Linked DNA regions of Arabidopsis thaliana. The protein of the gene in region 4 interacts with the protein of the main gene of each other region in a pairwise test. Each region holds a gene or a part of one and is shown on either strand. Other genes may lie near its edges.

Region 1 (5,108 bases), on a different chromosome or scaffold from region 4:
TGGCAAGCACAAATTTGGCAGTAACAAAACCAATAAGTTCATCAGAGTGATCATCAGGCCGGCTCCGATCAACAGCAGCCCATGAGACGATATCAACTCCGTTCACAACACTCTGGAAAAACTCAGACTCATACCTGACAAAACAAAAATCAATACTTTAGAAATCTTTTCACAAGACACCAACATAGGAAAATCCAAGTAGATGGATGCATACTTGATGGGGAAGATATCGCGATGGATTTGCTCCAAACGATCTAGATCATTAGGGTTTATAGGTCTATAGTGAATACTTGGGCAAAGAGAGATTCCTGCATCTTCCATTGATGAATCATCTATGAATCTTCGAGGAAATCGCGACATTGTTTGGTATCCGAAGAACCAGAAAAGCCACTTCCCATTGTGAAGTGCCAGATCACTGGATCCGACCCGTTGAAGTAAATGGATCCGGATAGATTTAACGAATCTGGATCTGAGTGGGTTTGTTTGGATTTGATTGGTTAATCTTCGGCGAAGGAATCAATCAAGAACCGAGTTTCGAGCATGGGAAAGAAAAAGGTGCTTGCTTGCTTTGCCCTCTCCTCTGTCTCTTGGGGCTTTTTCTCGTTCCAAGTGAAGCATCTTGGCTCGTGTGCTTTGCGACAACCAATCACGTGCCTCTTTTAGAAGGAGAGTACTAATGTACTATTTATGAATGGAATATTCGATTCTCTTAAATGAAAAATTGTTCCATTTTCAATAATATAACCATTTTTAACAATAAAAATTCGTACTGTTTTTTCTATCTGAAAAAAATGGATTTGAAAAAATTCGTACTTTCGATTCATAATCTGCTTTTTATTATTATTCGTTATAAGTCTGTACTATGGTAAGAGAACCTTAAAATATTCCCCTCCACAACAAAAAATAAAAATCAAACTGGAGAAGAGTTAGGCAGTAAAGGAGAATTTCCTTGCCCTATTAACTCGATTAGGCGGGCCAATACACTTGTTATGTGTTTTCCACTTTTCTTCGTTACAAATTTAGATTAGTCTTACATGATGAGCCGTTAGATATCATAGAAAGAAATAATCTTATAAAATTTGATAAGATTTCTATAATCCACAAATCTGGATCGATGTTTATTTCAGATTTATAAATATTGTCTTAAAAAAAAAATTATTGGCCGTCTCGGCGGCAAGCAGAGAGAGAGAGACTCAACGTTTTCGTAACAACAAAACTTTGAGTAGCAGAAAATTATCCAAAAAAAAACGTGAAACGCAAATGGAAAAAATTGAGAAAAGTAACGCGAGTCCAGTGCCACGTATGAAAAAAAGAGCTTAGGACCAGATACGTTAATCAGAAAAAGACCAGGTACGTACGTTAATTAATGTTTTTTTAAAAAGGCCAAGCACGTTAGTCCAGCCCACGTGGTATTTCTTATCTTAACAACAAAACTAATTTTTTAATTTAATAATCGGACGTTGCAGAGGTAATCAGATCAACGGTAGAGATTACGACACGTTATATCACTCTGCGAAACTCCACCGCTTTCTGGAATTAAAAAAATCAGAGTGTATAAATAAAAGAGCAGAGGTAAAAGCTATCTCCAGAGTTTAATATAAGTGTAGACAGAGAGAGAGAGAGCTTCTTTCTTCTTCTCTTCGTCGCTAAGAGATGATCTTCGAATATAAATCTCTGTAAGGTTTGCGAAGACCGGAGTAGTGAATCTCGGAATTGTTGAAGAAGACGGTACACCGGAATCAATTGCGATTTTGATTTATGGGAACGGTTTGCGAATCTGTAGCGACGGCGAAATCTTCGACGGCGGTGATGAGCTCCATTCCGCCTTTTCTGAGCAAAACGTACGATATGGTTGACGATCCATTGACGGACGACGTGGTGTCTTGGAGCAGCGGAAACAACAGCTTCGTGGTTTGGAACGTGCCTGAGTTCGCCAAACAGTTTCTACCAAAGTATTTCAAGCACAACAATTTCTCCAGCTTCGTCAGACAGCTCAATACTTATGTGAGTGAACTTCGATCGATTCTTTTTTATTTGTTTTTCTCTTCATTGATTCGATTTTCTTCAATTTCGTAGTTCGATTTTAGGGAATCTTACTTTATGTGCTTCATTTTTATTTTACTCTCTTGTTTTTTTTGTGGTTGAATTAAGCATTAGTTATTGATAAAACTCACGAATGATTTAAGGTTGCAAGAAGGTGCTTTGAGAAGTCGACTCCTATTTAGTGTATAGTATGATGCTACTGATTGATGTTCCTATATAGTTGTTGACGCTGGTGGTTGAACTATGCACGTCTAGTAGGTTGTGTTAATGTTGATTTTAGTTGCACTAACTGTTAAGATTGGATCTTTTTGGGTTCTGACAAACTCGTGCAAGATAATTTCACATATTTGTATTGTTCTTCAGTTGTTTTTTGTACATGTATACCCTGTGAACTGCAGGCATATATGTTTTTGTTTTTCTAAGTATCTGAGCTTGCATCCGTGTCTGTGAGGCTGGAATGAATTTTCTTAGGTCAAGCAAAACTAACAAGTGTATACTCTTGCGTAGCTTGTTCCTCCCCTGTTCTTATTTACTTACCAAAAGGTTCCACGAACTTTGCAGGCTTATTTGGACATGTGCTCATATGTGTCTGACGATTGGTTGATTCAGCACTTCCATTTCTGGCCTCTTAAGTCACAAAACAAAATTTCTATCAGTTGTCCCATGTTAGCTTTCCATTCGTTTGTATTTGTCCGTCCAGGTACATGCCGATACACTAACAACTGTATTAGTTTCCTTGGACCATGGTAGTTTGGTGCTGCAGCTAGACCCAGTGAACGTATCATACCATATCTAGAATAGTTGTTATTAACGTATTTAATGGTCTTTATGTTTATACAAATCTTCTATGTTGGCTTCCTATTGCAACGGAATCCAAGTAACTTCTTGCGGTTGATGACTGTTCCATTCTCCATGCTTCTTTTTTTCAGGGTTTTAGAAAAGTTGATCCAGACCGCTGGGAGTTTGCAAACGAGGGCTTTTTAAGAGGCCAAAAGCAAATACTAAAGAGTATTGTCCGGCGAAAACCTGCACAAGTGCAGCCTCCACAACAACCTCAAGTTCAGCACTCATCTGTGGGTGCGTGCGTTGAAGTGGGCAAATTTGGACTCGAAGAGGAAGTGGAAAGACTTCAGCGCGATAAGAACGTCCTTATGCAGGAACTTGTAAGGTTGAGGCAGCAACAACAAGTTACCGAACATCATCTGCAGAATGTGGGGCAGAAAGTTCATGTGATGGAGCAGAGGCAGCAACAGATGATGTCCTTTCTAGCAAAGGCTGTCCAAAGTCCAGGTTTCTTAAACCAATTTTCTCAGCAGAGTAATGAAGCAAACCAACACATTTCTGAAAGCAACAAAAAGAGGAGGCTACCTGTTGAGGACCAGATGAATTCTGGCAGTCATGGGGTTAATGGTCTTAGCCGCCAGATTGTGAGATATCAGTCATCGATGAACGATGCAACAAACACTATGCTTCAACAGATACAGCAGATGAGTAATGCACCTAGCCATGAATCTCTCTCAAGCAATAATGGTAGCTTTCTTTTGGGCGATGTTCCAAATTCTAACATTTCAGACAATGGGAGCTCCTCAAATGGATCACCTGAAGTTACATTGGCAGATGTTTCATCCATTCCTGCAGGCTTCTATCCTGCAATGAAGTACCACGAGCCTTGTGAAACAAATCAAGTCATGGAGACCAATTTGCCTTTTTCTCAAGGTGATCTCTTACCTCCAACGCAAGGAGCAGCAGCTTCTGGGAGCTCAAGTTCGGATCTTGTTGGATGCGAGACAGATAATGGAGAGTGTTTGGATCCAATAATGGCTGTTTTGGATGGCGCACTCGAACTAGAAGCTGATACCTTAAATGAGTTGCTTCCTGAAGTCCAAGATTCTTTTTGGGAACAGTTCATTGGTGAGAGCCCAGTGATTGGTGAGACAGATGAGTTAATCTCAGGATCAGTGGAAAATGAACTGATATTGGAGCAACTAGAGTTACAATCAACCCTGAGTAATGTGTGGAGCAAGAATCAACAAATGAACCATCTTACTGAACAGATGGGACTTCTCACATCAGATGCTCTCAGAAAATGAGATTGCCACAGGCCACAATCTTTCCTCACGAGGTAATCAGTCTATCTATATTGATATGTTATAAACCACACACTTTCCAAAATTTAAATTTTGTGCAAAACCAAACCCCTCGTCTTTGTCTTGTTATCGCAGATGGGTTAAGATTTTGTGGAGCCGCAACAACAAAAAGAATATGACCAAAGGAGGTACTATGTATGTATGTATCAAACTGTTGTAACTCTAATTCTTGTCAATGTATAATAAAATAAGAGAAATATTGCCTTAAAAGATTTTTGCATTGCAATATCTTTGTTTGTTACTGACAGAATGAAAAGGAGATGCTTCAAAGTGAGAGATATTCTTCTGTTCTTGTGTATGTCTTTAGAGATCCTTGTTTATTTTTGTTACATTAAGTGCAAAAATTGGCATTTTGGTTAACCTGTGGCCAAATCTTACCTGCTTTAGTGTTTTTTTATCAGTCCTTCACTTTTAGTTTCTTGAGTAAAACTAATGTTCCAATTTCGTCTAAAGGAAATCATCTAAAGAGAGAGTAAAAAGGAAGAACGTGTGTCGTGTGGATATAGTAACAAAGTGGTTTAAAAGGATCAAGTCATTGATTACACGGAATCAAAGTGTATGTACATGCATATGTTAAGCTCTGAAACTGCAACCGAACCAGATCCATTTGTCGTTTGTATCAATCTTAAACTTGCTTTTAACATTACATACAACATTACATATGATATTACCATTAGTTGTAATTTATATAGCTTATATGATATATATCTATTTCTGAAAACTATATAAATATTTTACATATGATAAATTTCACAGATATCTCATGGATATATTGCTTTAAAAGAGGATATGAACATTAATAAACATGTAATTTGTTAAAAGAATTGATAAAGACCATATATTAAGGATAAAATAGTTACTCTGAAAGAAAATTTGAACATTCATGCATGCAATATATAACGTATGTCGAACACTCGA
Region 2 (4,496 bases), on a different chromosome or scaffold from region 4:
GCAAGACTCAGCATTTCTTCTTCTTCCTCGGTGGAAGCAGACAAGAGTTCAAGATTTTCAGACCATCACGGTTCGCTCTCTAGTCTAGCACACTACATGGTTCAGGAGAAGCTAGAGCAGATGATCAGAGAGACACAAGAAGCCACACATCAAGAGAAGATAAGACAACAAAAGATGAGAAGAAGAAGAAGAAGAAGTGAGGGTAGTATCAGTAGCACTAAGTTCATTGTCATGATGGCGATGGAGAAATGTTCTTTTGATCCAAGAAAGGATTTTAGAGACTCTATGGTTGAGATGATTGTAGCAAACAAGATCAAAGAAGCAGATGAACTTAGAAGCCTCTTGGAGTACTATCTATCGATGAATCCTCGCGAATATCGGTCTGCCATTCTCGAGATCTTTTACGAGGTTTGTGCTGATTTGTTTCGTAGCTAAGAGTGAACAAAGATCAGTTGTTTCTTTCAAATGTTTGTGTAAGATACCTGGTTTGTAACAAACCGGTTTTCTAAGTAATAAATAGATTTACCACCATTCATAAACCAAAAATAACTGAAATTAAAATTACAGAACTAGATACAAATTTTGGTTTCAATTTGGTATCCCCTTTGTAAACTCAAACCAGACCAAAATGCTGACAACCTGATCCAATCCGAGTCAAAAGTTCGAACTGAAACTAAACCGGAAAACCGAATGCCATACAGAATGCAAACCCTCCTAGTATACCAAATTTGAACCAATGCTAAGTGTTGCTGTTGCAAACCCATAACTGGCCTGTTCAAGTATGTAGTTATGTATATGTATTGTAGTACAGTATACCAAGAGTAACATCCATTATAAGTTTATAACTCTCCAACAGGTAAAGAAGCTATATAACAGTTACAACACTAGTAAACATAGACAGATGGGTCTATACTTGTATATATGTTACTATGGATGTGATGAGAGTTATGATGATTTAAGGGTTTAAGAGAGAGCTTCCTTCTTTGATGAGCACATAGACGCTTCCACCATCGCCTCTCGAGATCCGAAGGTCCTTGTCGAGATAAGTTGTGAGCAGCCACGACTGCGTGTTGTCACTAGGCAGAGAAAACTTCAATGGTGGTTGGTTTGAAATGGTTCTAGCCACTGAAGAAGCAGTGTCTTGGACTGATGTAAGTAAACCTTTAATGGGATTGAGATCGATTTTCTGACCAAGAACCTCCACGGATTCCGGTATTTCAATCGAATCCGTTAGCTGAGGAGTCCCTATAACACCTTGCTCGAACTTAATCTACAACAAACAAAACAAAAAAAACAATTAGGTTATGTAACATTAGCATTTGCCATTTGTGGTTTTAGGGGATGATTCTTGATTTACCTGGACACGTTTAGGACTTCGGATTTCAAACTTAGCGTTGGTGCTAAACGACGTTGTGGAAAACGGACCAGCGAACCGGACAGAGTTTTGAACGGTGAAGCTATCGGAATCAATGGTTTGTGAGATCTCATCCACTTTAACCAACGGTTCAATTCTTCGTGAGAGCAATGGGAACAACCCCACGAACGACGTGTAGCTTCACGAGATAAACACTTAAAAACTAAGTTCTTGATTCATAACAATAACGGCTAAAAATAAACGAAGGCTCATAACTACACACAGAATCATAATCCAAATTCATAATTAAATCTTCTTTGTAACCACAACTTGCTTTTCACTATCAAAATCAAATCATTCATAACGGAACTAAACAGTTTTCACCGGGAAATTAAACTTCCACCGGTAAGTTTAAAGTATCATTAACTTAATTGGTAAAGATCCTAGACGAAGCTTAGAGATCACCGGTTTGAGTAATGTTTGGGACAAAACTAATATTACATGCCGTGCCTAGGAGAGTATCAGAACTAAAAGTACTTACGCGAGGATCCATTTGCCGTTGAGGAGAAACAGAGCTTCGTTAGGAGCTGGAGTAGGGTTCTTAGACTCGAGCTGTGTGATGAGCTCGCTGATCTCAGCTCTCGTATCACTCGATACGCTTAAACCTCGATCTGTTCCGTACAACGAATCCGCTAGTGATCTCTTTAGCCTCTCCGTCTCCTCCACGGATTCGATTGCTTTATCTGCTACCGATACGGTTGAAGATGAGGCAAATACTCTCTCCACTCCATCTTGACCCCATTCGTCGTCGATGTCCGTCGCTCGGATTTTGAAATCTGGCCGATGAACAGAGACTCCAATCTCCGATCGCCGATTTATTGAGTTAATCGGTAGTAGGATCGGAGATTTCGATTGGTGTTTAGTGTTTGATGAGCTTGGATTTAGGGTTTTGCAGGGAAACTGGGTGAACAATGGTACCGTCGCCATTTTTGTGTTTGTTCTTCAGAGAAACCTCACGAATTAGGATTTTATAACCGTTGAGCTGGACTGTAAATGACGTATATACCCTTATCTGGTACACTTTCTTATGAACATATAAGTCAAGATCCAAGGGATAGAATAGGTATTTGGAATAGAACAAATGAGGTAAGCTAAGGTGGGATTTTGACACGTGGATGGTTAAAGATCATTGTTTTAAGAATCGACCTGGACTCGTGTGAAGTTGCCGACTTTATGAAAAATTCATAAAATTTGTGGAAGATTTTATTTTCTTCAATAGGGAAACAATTTGGTTTAATTTGGTTTTTGTCCCATTATTTGTGTGGGGGAGAATTTGTTTGGGTTTTCTACGAGAGTTAGGCCATGCAATGCAAATGGCATGATGGATCTAGAATCTTCGGACGTGTACTATACTTTTTGGCCGGTTTTGGTGATCTTCGATCTTCAGTTTTCTGAACGGTGAAGATTCTCTCCAATGCAAAATATCTAAACGGCGATTAATCAACAGTGTAATAAGTAGTTGGACTAAATGGGCCTGGATAGTATATTTAATGGGCCTTTATTAACAAAGAAGACCCATTAAAAATTTAAAATGAATACAATAGTTTTGTATCCAATAGACCAATAGGTCCAAAACGTTCTTAAAGGGAGAAAAATTAGCTGGTAAAATAATAGTACCGGTGTTTGTTCAAAAAAAATAATAATAATAATACTGGGCAGGTGTAGATATTCGGGTACTCATATCTGTTCGGTTCTTTTTTTTTTTGAGTATCGGATCTATTTAGGTATGAAGTTAAAAACCATTCATGTATTCTAAAATTTTGGTTCGGTTTTGGTTTGAGTTTGGATCGATTTAGTTATTTTAGTAAGAATTGAAAAATAATCAAAAATACTCAAAATATTTTTGGGTTCAGGTCGAGTTCGAGTTTTTTACTCATCTATACCTAAATCTAACCGAGATGCCTGATTAGTTTATCCAAAAATATATTAGTTATATTTTACCAAAATATAACCAAATGTAACCAAAATACTTAAATTACTTAGAAAACTATAGGGTGAGTTAAAAATATATACATGGATAAACAGAATATTAAGAATTTATACATAAAAATATGTTATTTACGTAAATAGGAAAGAGAAATAAAATATAAACCAAAAAATATCCTTCCGGTTTAGATTAATTACAAAAATGCCATTGATTCAAAATACTTTAATATTTAATTGGGAGATTTGCAAAACTGCCCTTATTCTAATAACCTTTTGTAAAAATGTCCTTTCCTGAAGGCCATTTTTAAAACTACCCTTTCTAATATGGCAAATGACTGTCTTACCCTTACTGAATGATTAGGTTTCACATTCGTTTCACAATACAATTCGTTTTGGCACAAACTTCTTCGTTTTGGCCAACGAATTTTCCTATCCGATTTCACTCAAAATCGCCGGCGAATTTCCTCTCCGATTTCACTCAAAATTGCCGACGAATTTCCTCTCCGATTTCACTCAAAATCGCCAACGAATTTCCTCTCCGATTTCACTCAAAATCGCCGACAAATTTTCTCTCCGAGAAACCCCAAAATCGCTGACGAATTTCCTCTCCGATAAATCTGTTCTTCGCTGACGGATTCAGATCATTTCTCTACGACGCAAACAATCCCCAGAGATATCGATAGATCCGACGGTAACCGTTTTTATAATCGATTTTATAGTCGATTTTATAGTAGATCTGACGATGTTTCATAACATGTTTTGCAGATGGATTCAGAGAGTGAAATCCTTACATTGCCTGAACAGATCTACAGAGAAGGTGAGGAATCTATTGCACTGGGAACCGTTCAACAATACTTGGATTGGAATTTAGTTAGTAAAGTAGAGGAAGCTTTAGGCGAGTGTTTATTTCAGAAGATTAGAAGTTCGTTTCTTGGTCTTCTAGTTGAATTGGGACCAAAAATGAAGGCTAAGAAGGGAATCAGATTTTCTGGGAAAATCTTTCACTATCTCATGCAGCAGAGAGTGAAAACAAAAGGATCAACTCTTTGGTTTAGAGTTGATTCTCAACCTATCTGTTTCTCCTTGAGAGAGTTCTATCTCACAACAGGTAATAAAGTTTTACAATCGTTTTTAAAGCTTAATTAACTGTCGTAGA
Region 3 (3,798 bases), on a different chromosome or scaffold from region 4:
TGTTTTGAGATATATTTTAGGTTTTCCTAAAGTCGTGGTGACATCGTCCATTAGCTATTACCTATCCGAGAGGCATAATTTACGAACTAGACTGTTGCTTTAGCTATAAGGATAAACTTAAGGGAAAGCGAAACTAAATTACATGCATATATTTTCATGAAATCGTGAAGATTTTTCTTTTGGATAAGCCAATGGATTTTTGATGAATTTCTTCCCAAAGAAACATTGAAGATCATGCAATCACGATCTCGCCAATATGAATATCTACCCAATATATTAAAACATTGAATATCAACTTGATCGATGTATTGACTTTGCAACATTCAAAGCAATTTGTAATATTTCTTAGCTTCTCGTTCTCAAAGCCACACATTTCCATAAACTAAGATATCCATGTACACAATGACGTACTTTAATTTGTGCATTATCTATGTATTCATTCATATGAAAAGTTTGCTGATATGGTTATCGGGATAAAAGATAAGACTAGTTACATAATTCAATTTATTTAGCTCATATTAGACATTTAATTCATCATTAATAGCTGAAACAATATTGCAAATACCTTTTATTAGAGAGCCCTTGAGGACTTGATGAGGTATTTTCTCTTAAAATAAGAAAATCATTTATATTCATCTGGACATTTGAGTTTCTTACTTGATGGATCTAGAACAAGTTGTCACTACAGGTTTTGAGTATTTTTTTCACATGCGAAACTCACAACCATGTCATGACCAAAAGATACAAGAAAAAAAAAAAAGTGTTTCATTAGTTTATGATCTGAATATTGTTCCCATTGTGAGGATCTACAGCACTTGCCGCCTCAGTCACAGGCACTTTCTTTGCAAGAGACATGGGGATGTCAAGATCATCTTGAGCACATCTTTGTTGAGGATGAGTTAACAGCATTGACATTGGCTTGAAAACAGACCGTGCAAGCCCTTGACCGCTCTCAAATATGTAACCTTCATACTCTGAAACATGTTCTACTGCATCGACAAGAGAGTCATACACATCTTGTGGACAATTATCAGGACTTGGCTTGTCGTGCAGGTACATAACATCCAACGTGAAGAGCTTCTGGTTTAAGGGCCACTCATGGGTTGGTCTCATAGATGACCTACAGTATATGAGAATCTGCAGGGCGACATGAACAAAATCAGTAAAACATCGTTTATTTTTCAGGCTGTGGCTAGAGGAGATTGTAGTTTCACAAAATAAACCTTACCACCCTGAAAATTCGGTTCTGTGCTCTGGAAACTTTGGCTTCCTGAGCTGCTGCTCGGAAGAGAAGTGTGAGATCCGCTCGACTAGAGGATTTATTACCTGACAATCCTCTAAGGGAAGCAACAGCAGATTCAGCATCACTTGTGAACTCCTTTTTAAGCTGAAACATAAAAAGGCCTCAAGTTCAATTTTCAAATGAAACAATCAGCACAGATAATAGTGTAGAGAGGATCTAAACAAAAGTTTCATGAACCAAATTTGACATTATTTCCCACACAACATTCACCAGTGAAGCTTATGTTAAAGCATCAAATGTGATTCTCACAACACATCTAGAAGCTACAAACAGTAACAAGAACACCATTCTCAGGTGAAAAAACCATCAAGTTTCAATCAGGTAAAGAATGTTCAACAAATCATGCATCCATGAAAAACCAGGTTTAAGATTGAGGATTAGGTTCAGAATATGTTCAAAGCAAATTCAAATCTCCAAGATGCATACTGTATAGCTTATCATGAATTTCAAAATTTTCAACTAAAAATGCAAAATTGAGGAGCATAGTCAAAAATCAAAAGAAAGCCCCCAAATTGAATCACATAAAGAGAATCGGAGAGAAAAGTAATAGTATACCCAAGCGGCTGATTTGGCGAGCGTAGCGAAAGCAAAGCGATGATCAGGATTAATGGACAGCTTATTGTGAATGAAGAGAATAATGGCTTGCTTGACGCACTCCATCCTGATCAAAGGCCTACCATTAGTTCCAGTGGTCTTCATCTCCACCATCGATTCTGCATCTACATCGATACAGATGAGTATGTCCTCGCTTTTTATACGCCCCGGTTTAAGCGCGTATCGAGTCGTTCCTACTCCGGTCACGGCCACTCTCTCTTCCTCCATTCGCCGCCGATGTAGTGAATTCTCTCTTCTACTTTCTACAATTCTACTGGTTCGTCCGATATAAATAAAACGATGCGTTTTGGTGAAACTAAAACACGACGTCGTCGTTTAATGTTTTCTTTTTTTTTCTTTGTACAGAGAAAAAGTTTCAGCGTTTTGATTCTTTTGACTTTTTTGACGAATGGGAATGAGCAAAAATCGTTTCATTGAGTAGTTCCACTAGGACACAAGAGAGATTCTTTTACTTCTGTTATTGAGGCTATGCAGTTTCTTGGTGCTTTCTTTTGATTGAATCGATCAGTATTAGCAATTGCGGTAACTTCGAACTTTGTTAAATCATCAAAAAAGTGGTGCCTATAAGAACCACTATTGGTTTTTGACTTGACATTAAGAAAATCAACTGTCTTTAGACTTGAGCGAGTGATAACGCTATACAAAAAAATGACTTCTCTCTGGTTGTCAACTACGTTACTCAATCGTCCAACTAGTTTCAGGATACCAGTTGAGTTTGCAATCCACTTGATGATCTTCAGTTGAGGATTTTGTTGATTCCCGATATCTTCTCCCCTGTTTGTTCCAAACATCACATTATCAGAGAGACCTATAACCAAAAAGAAAAATAGACTCTTAAGTGTTCATCAGCATTCATATCACATACCTAACACATCGATTTCCAGGAGTGAAGCTTCTAGCATATCTTCCTTTTCCTCGATCTCAGATCGGAACTGTCGTACAATGCTTAAAGTGTCTGCAATGCTCTGTTCCTTTCTTTCCAGCTCACAGCGAAACTGTCTTACACTGGCTACAGTGTCTAAAATGCTCTGTTTGACCTTAGCCAGCTGTTGTGTGACAGAGCAAGGTTCAGGGAGGTTCTTAGGCTGCAAGTCTCCGGGCTCAGCACTCGATTTGTGGGACCGGCAAGAGGGTTCTCCTTCTGCAGCTTCCTTCTCCATCTCGCCATCAGCTTTATGAACGCTGGAGCTTTCGACTCGAGCTCGCTTGTATGTCTTAGTCTTAGTTTCTGCAAGATCCTCTTCTTCAGCCACTGGTTGTTGAACCATCTCAAGGATTTTGTGTCCATTCTCATTCATAGAAGAAATAGCTGATTTGACAGATGAATCATGAGGACAAACACTTAGTGACTGCTCCAGGTTCAGTCCCCTCTCAGGTACACAAGTTAGCTCAGGGGTAGAAACTTCTGCTGCTCTCTGTTGTTCCTGCTGATTGGAAAATAAGATTGCAATTAACTATCTACTTCCAACATAAGCGAGGATGACATTCATCTTCTTTTTACAAATGAAAGATTTCAGTGTTTCAATGCTGGTTTCAGGAAGAAAGAAGCATGCCTTTACTGCCGCTTCTCTTGGGCCTTGACGGTCCTGCAGAATACACAAATTTTTAGAACCGTAAGAGAACAAATGAAACTAGACGACTTGCATAACCATTGGTACTCAAAAACCACCTTCATCTGTATGAGACACATGATGCAAGTATATTATCTACAAACAATAAAGGTAGTTTGATACAGTGCACTAGTATATGTGAGAGAGCTTACTTCTTTTTCATTAGCAACAACATCTTCCTGCTTTAAAGCATCAAATGCCCTTCCACATATTGAATCCACTACATCACTGGGATTAGCTAAGGAGACGCTCGACAATTTCCCTGCTTCT
Region 4 (4,559 bases):
TTCTTTGCACCAAAGAAAATCAGGGTTACTTGCCATCTCTCTCCTTTGAAATGTTCTGATTCAAGCTCTCACCTACAAGTTTTGCTCCTTCAACTTGCTCGTCTCTCTCACTCTCTATCTCCTCTCGTAATATTTTTCTCTCTGTCTTGTTGAGCCGTTGAATATGTAGCAAAGCACCACTTAAAATTTCAAAGATATGATTCAATCAAAGTGGTCAAAGTGAAAAAAGCTTTCCTCTCAATACTGAAACTGTAGTACAATTGTGACTTCATCCTTTTTGGATGTGTTCATTTAATTCATAGCATGCGATTATTATGCATAACAGATGAATCTCTTTTGGCGTTAATACATTTCGGTGACTGGAAATAAGAAGTACGACACTAGGCAAGTACTGTAATTATACTTTTCTGTTTAGGTAATGACTGTATTGGATTAGTTCTTCATTTTGATAAATTTATGAAGAAGAGTATAAAAGAAATTATAACTTATTTGGCAACCACTTAAGGTGGTGAAGTTGTCTCCAAGAACATATAAGAAAAAGGTTAGGATTTCATTTGATATCAAACAAAAGTTCAGCAATTGACATTTGCCACATCTTAATCTCTGTAATGTCATTCCAAATCCAATTATTCTACCGCTAACTTCATAATTAAAGGCCATATATTCAGCAGCCCTACATTTATAATTGACCTGTAATATGGCAACAAAAAGAACATCTGATCTAGAGACTCTGTAGAACTGTTAGAATTGAAAGATCAGAGGAAGTGATGAGTAGGATACTCATGTTCATAACCATTGTAGTCATAATAGAGCCTTTCCCCTTTCGATATATCGCGTGTAGCCACTAGAAGAACTCGACATTCGCCGTTTATGCTATACCTCACGCATTTGCAGTTCTGCTTCTTCTTAGCAACCCTGCAACAATCAGTGTGATGTGATGATTCAATGTTATAAACCAGTTTAGTGGGGGGAAAACAATTTTGAATTTGTTGCTTACGGATTGTGATTGTTAATGCCATTAATGAAGCGAGATATGTTTCCAAACTTGTCTGGACAGATAACAAGAGTCTTTGAAGGATCTTCTGATAAAAGGAGAGTCATGATGCTGTCACAATCGTCTTTTTCTCGGTTTTTCAAGTAATCAACATCCCCTGTATATTCAGCTATGAATGTTAAGTCCTTAATAGGACCATCTGCTTCAACTGTGTAACTGTACAAACGGAATAACCAAAGAACATGTTTACAACTCCACTTTGTCATTATGGGAAGGTTGATCGAAGGAATAGAGAGAGATACCCTTCAAGCGGATCAAATACCACAACGAGAGGAGGGCATTCTCCTCGTCTATACATAGATTGACATTGTTCCAATGTCTCTAAATCTTCTTTGCATAGCACCTGCGAAAAGTAAAAACCGAGATAAACAATCAAGGAAGTAACTTAAAATAAGAGAGTTATGGATAAATGGCTGAAAGATTGTTTTTGTTTATTACCTGCATCCCACCTTTCTCTAACTTGGATTGATTTGCAGACCGAGGAGCCATTCCGGGAACATAATTTAAACCATCGCTGTATTTGATACCCAATGCCGTTAATGCAGAAGCAAGTGTTCCCATTTGTGCAAGCCTCTGATCAGGATCTTCTGATGGAACCAAAGGTAAGAGTTTTCTCCTTCTTTTCTTCACTGTCAAAGAGCAAGATCGTCTCCGCTTTCTAGTTTCTTCTTCAAAACAAAGAAATCTCAATCTCAAACACTTGTTATTAGTTTAATCCTGAAGCATCTATGATCTATGTATATGATATGTATAAGTTCTCATCAATGCTTATTAACCCTACATAAGGTGCAACAAAATTTCAAGCATATAATAGGCCAAAGTTAAGCTATTTCATATTCATCTAACTATTTAATCAAGTGAAACATCTCGTCAGATTCATCAACTCAAGAACTTTATGATCATATCATGAAATCCAAAAACAAAAATCGCACCTTGACTCAATTCCAATTTGTCTGTTTGATGAGTATGCTTCTCAATCCGAAAGAAATGTAAAATCTTCTTCTGAGATAACCCTAAACATTTCACCGGACAAGAGAAAAATCCATTTTTTTATTAAACAAAGAACACAAGAAAATTAGGAAATTTAAAAGCGAAGAAACAAAAAATCCATACTTCTTACAGGTCGTTGGTCGGAACAATCGACACAAAGCCAAGTTCCAATGGGGACACGAACAACAATGGGTCTAAGGCATTTCATGTGAAAGCCTCTATCGCATTTGTCACAGAGAAGAAGCTCATCGTCTCCTTCTCCAGAACCACATTTCTCGCAGGTGACGTTACTGTAGCTGTCTTCGTCTTCTTCTTCTTCTTGTTCAACCACAGGGACAGATTTCGCCATTATCTCAGCCATTGATTTCATCTTCCTCGGTGGTGGAGATTCGGAGGAAGGGCGTCTCGCTGGAGCTTTCGTTCGTCGCCTCGATGAGCAAGGAGACGCCGCAGGGGAGGATGCGTTCCATGTGGCCATGACGGAAGCTCACGACGAAGAGTCGCCGGAGAACGGGATATATGATTTTGATTGGTTGGGGCTAATGTGCACCGCCGCGTGTGCGCACGAAAACTGATGTGCGCATCACCTGGAGTGTAATTTGGGATTCTTCCTTTGAGACTCTTCTTTATCGGCTCTTTTGTTTTTTTGACCTTTGACAAATTCAAAATTACTGGTATGTCTTAAAAGGTTTAAACATTGTAAGTGATACTAATAAATTTACAACCATTAAAGCCTTTTAATTGTTACTAAATTTCTTAACTAAATTTTACTTATTTAATTTACTAGGGATTGATATAAAAATTAATACAGTATTAACTATACTATACAAACGTAATTACAAAAATAGATATCTTTCAATTGAAAAAAAATATATGTTGGTGGGCTCAATACAAACACAGTAAACGTCAATTTCGTCAACTGAGCCACCCCAACGCCAAGCCCAACAGTCGGTCCGCCTCATTGGAGGCTCAAGTTCTTTATTTGACAAGCTAAACCAAAGTGTTCTGGTTTGACCAACAATGTAATATTACATAAATCTGAATCTATAAAATACAAAATTTAATAAATTATGTCTTATGGTTTAACATAATTTTCTGTTTCCGATTTAAGAATTTTTCGCCATATTGATTTTCATAATTTTATATACATATATAATATCTTTCAATTGTAAATTTTTATCTTATAATTTTATATATGAATAGTTTTCTCTATTTTTTTCAAGGTTTTTAATTAATAAGAAATTGCGGTGTTAGCGTTAATGAAATAGTTATGGTATAGACTATAAAGAATAATATACATAATTGGAACAAGTGAAATGGTTGTTTGATATATTCTTGACGATGAGAGCAAAACTTTCTTATCATATTTTCTGAACCGGGGTGTATGCTAGGTAATTTTGTGGCTAAGTCCTTTATTAAGGTTGTTGCACTTCTTCACAAGGATGAAAACTTAAGTCTTGCATCGGTGGATGCTTCAAGATATTCATATATGCTCGCCATGTAAGTTTTGCTTATACTAATACTGTTTAAGTCATAGTATTCCAAAAAAATCAAAGAAATAAGACTATTACTGGTCCATCACAATGGATTCCCTTCGAGAAGCCCGCATCGATCTTTCTATGCCTTATGAGTTTTGTCCCTATGAATATGAGGAATATGAAAAACATTCTTGACCTTGCTTCTACTACCGTTAAAGTATGATGTCTCTCTCTTCTCCATGTATCTTGTTACATTCATGCTTGACCAATTTGTTTGTGTTTCATTCATGACCAGTTTGCTTGTGTGTTGTAGATGATGCGTCATTGCTTCGATTATTGGCGTAGTAATGAATTTCCCTTGTTTAAAAACCTTGTTAAACTATCGTTTGAGTCTAAGACGAAAAAAGGTTGGAAAGTTCTTTGGACTCTGATAAAAAGCTCTCCCAATCTAGAAACTTTGATCCTCAAGGTTTGTATGTATAATATGATCTCTTTTTCTCTTTCTCAATTATAAATTTAATCTCGGAGTTTCACTTACTGTGTGTTCTTTTCTTTTCTATCCGTTGTTTCAGGGTTTTCAGTGTGTAAGTACTTGTGGGTATAGCATTGATGGAAATACGTTGAAGGTGTTGGAGTTATACGGGTGTAGAGGGAATCTTAGAGAAGTCGAACAAGTGAGGCTGTTCTGTCGGAAAGTGAATTTCTTCAAGTAATGAAAGTGGAAATTGGTACTAAGGTTGATGTTGACAAGAAATTGCAACTCACCAAAGACCTCCTTCCTTATCCTAACGTTCCTCCAAATGCCAAATCCACTTCTTGTAATCTTTTAAATCCAATTTTGTTTTTGACTGCTCAATCAATCAAGATTCAGTTTGTTTTAGATACAAAGACAACATCTCCCTTGATAGAGCATATTGATAGCTTTACTTTTAATACGATTTTGCCAAGTCCAAACATAAAATTCTGGTTTAGAGTATCAACATTGCAATGATACTAGTACTAAAGAACATTGCAATTTATTCTCAAAGTTCTAATGG

Evidence for each region.
Region 1: the proteins of ATXR5 (region 4) and HSFA1E interact in a two-hybrid assay, tested with the Arabidopsis thaliana proteins (one large-scale study listed by BioGRID).
Region 2: the proteins of ATXR5 (region 4) and FIB interact in a two-hybrid assay, tested with the Arabidopsis thaliana proteins (one large-scale study listed by BioGRID).
Region 3: the proteins of ATXR5 (region 4) and AT4G32960 interact in a two-hybrid assay, tested with the Arabidopsis thaliana proteins (one large-scale study listed by BioGRID).

What each region holds. Positions count from the first base shown.
Region 1 is NC_003074.8:671,856-676,963, forward strand, and holds HSFA1E (heat shock transcription factor A1E), read left to right. Parts: upstream 1-1,572; 5' UTR 1,573-1,758; coding exon 1,759-2,004; intron 2,005-2,972; coding exon 2,973-4,133; 3' UTR 4,134-4,165; intron 4,166-4,265; 3' UTR 4,266-4,573; downstream 4,574-5,108. Other genes in the region: MCC1 (MEIOTIC CONTROL OF CROSSOVERS1), read right to left, coding at 1-134, 215-360. UniProt on the Arabidopsis thaliana protein: Transcriptional activator that specifically binds DNA sequence 5'-AGAAnnTTCT-3' known as heat shock promoter elements (HSE).
Region 2 is NC_003075.7:1,930,006-1,934,501, reverse strand, and holds FIB (fibrillin), read right to left. Parts: upstream 2,620-4,496; 5' UTR 2,342-2,619; coding exon 1,896-2,341; intron 1,554-1,895; coding exon 1,358-1,553; intron 1,271-1,357; coding exon 956-1,270; 3' UTR 552-955; downstream 1-551. Other genes in the region: AT4G04025 (transcription repressor), read left to right, coding at 1-408, 479-493. UniProt on the Arabidopsis thaliana protein: Probably involved in light/cold stress-related jasmonate (JA) biosynthesis. Contributes to the protection of photosystem II (PSII) against light stress.
Region 3 is NC_003075.7:15,908,017-15,911,814, forward strand, and holds AT4G32960 (BRISC/BRCA1-A complex protein), read right to left. Parts: upstream 2,277-3,798; 5' UTR 2,126-2,276; coding exon 1,859-2,125; intron 1,388-1,858; coding exon 1,229-1,387; intron 1,138-1,228; coding exon 769-1,137; 3' UTR 556-768; downstream 1-555. Other genes in the region: AT4G32970 (BRISC/BRCA1-A complex protein), read right to left, coding at 2,655-2,692, 2,784-3,342, 3,472-3,504, 3,681-3,798.
Region 4 is NC_003076.8:3,038,449-3,043,007, forward strand, and holds ATXR5 (TRITHORAX-RELATED PROTEIN 5), read right to left. Parts: upstream 2,714-4,559; 5' UTR 2,523-2,713; coding exon 2,168-2,522; intron 2,068-2,167; coding exon 1,987-2,067; intron 1,723-1,986; coding exon 1,493-1,722; intron 1,398-1,492; coding exon 1,297-1,397; intron 1,211-1,296; coding exon 998-1,210; intron 916-997; coding exon 756-915; 3' UTR 532-755; downstream 1-531. Other genes in the region: AT5G09780 (Transcriptional factor B3 family protein), read right to left, coding at 1-36. UniProt on the Arabidopsis thaliana protein: Histone methyltransferase that specifically monomethylates 'Lys-27' of histone H3 (H3K27me1). Has much higher activity on nucleosomes containing H3.1 than H3.3.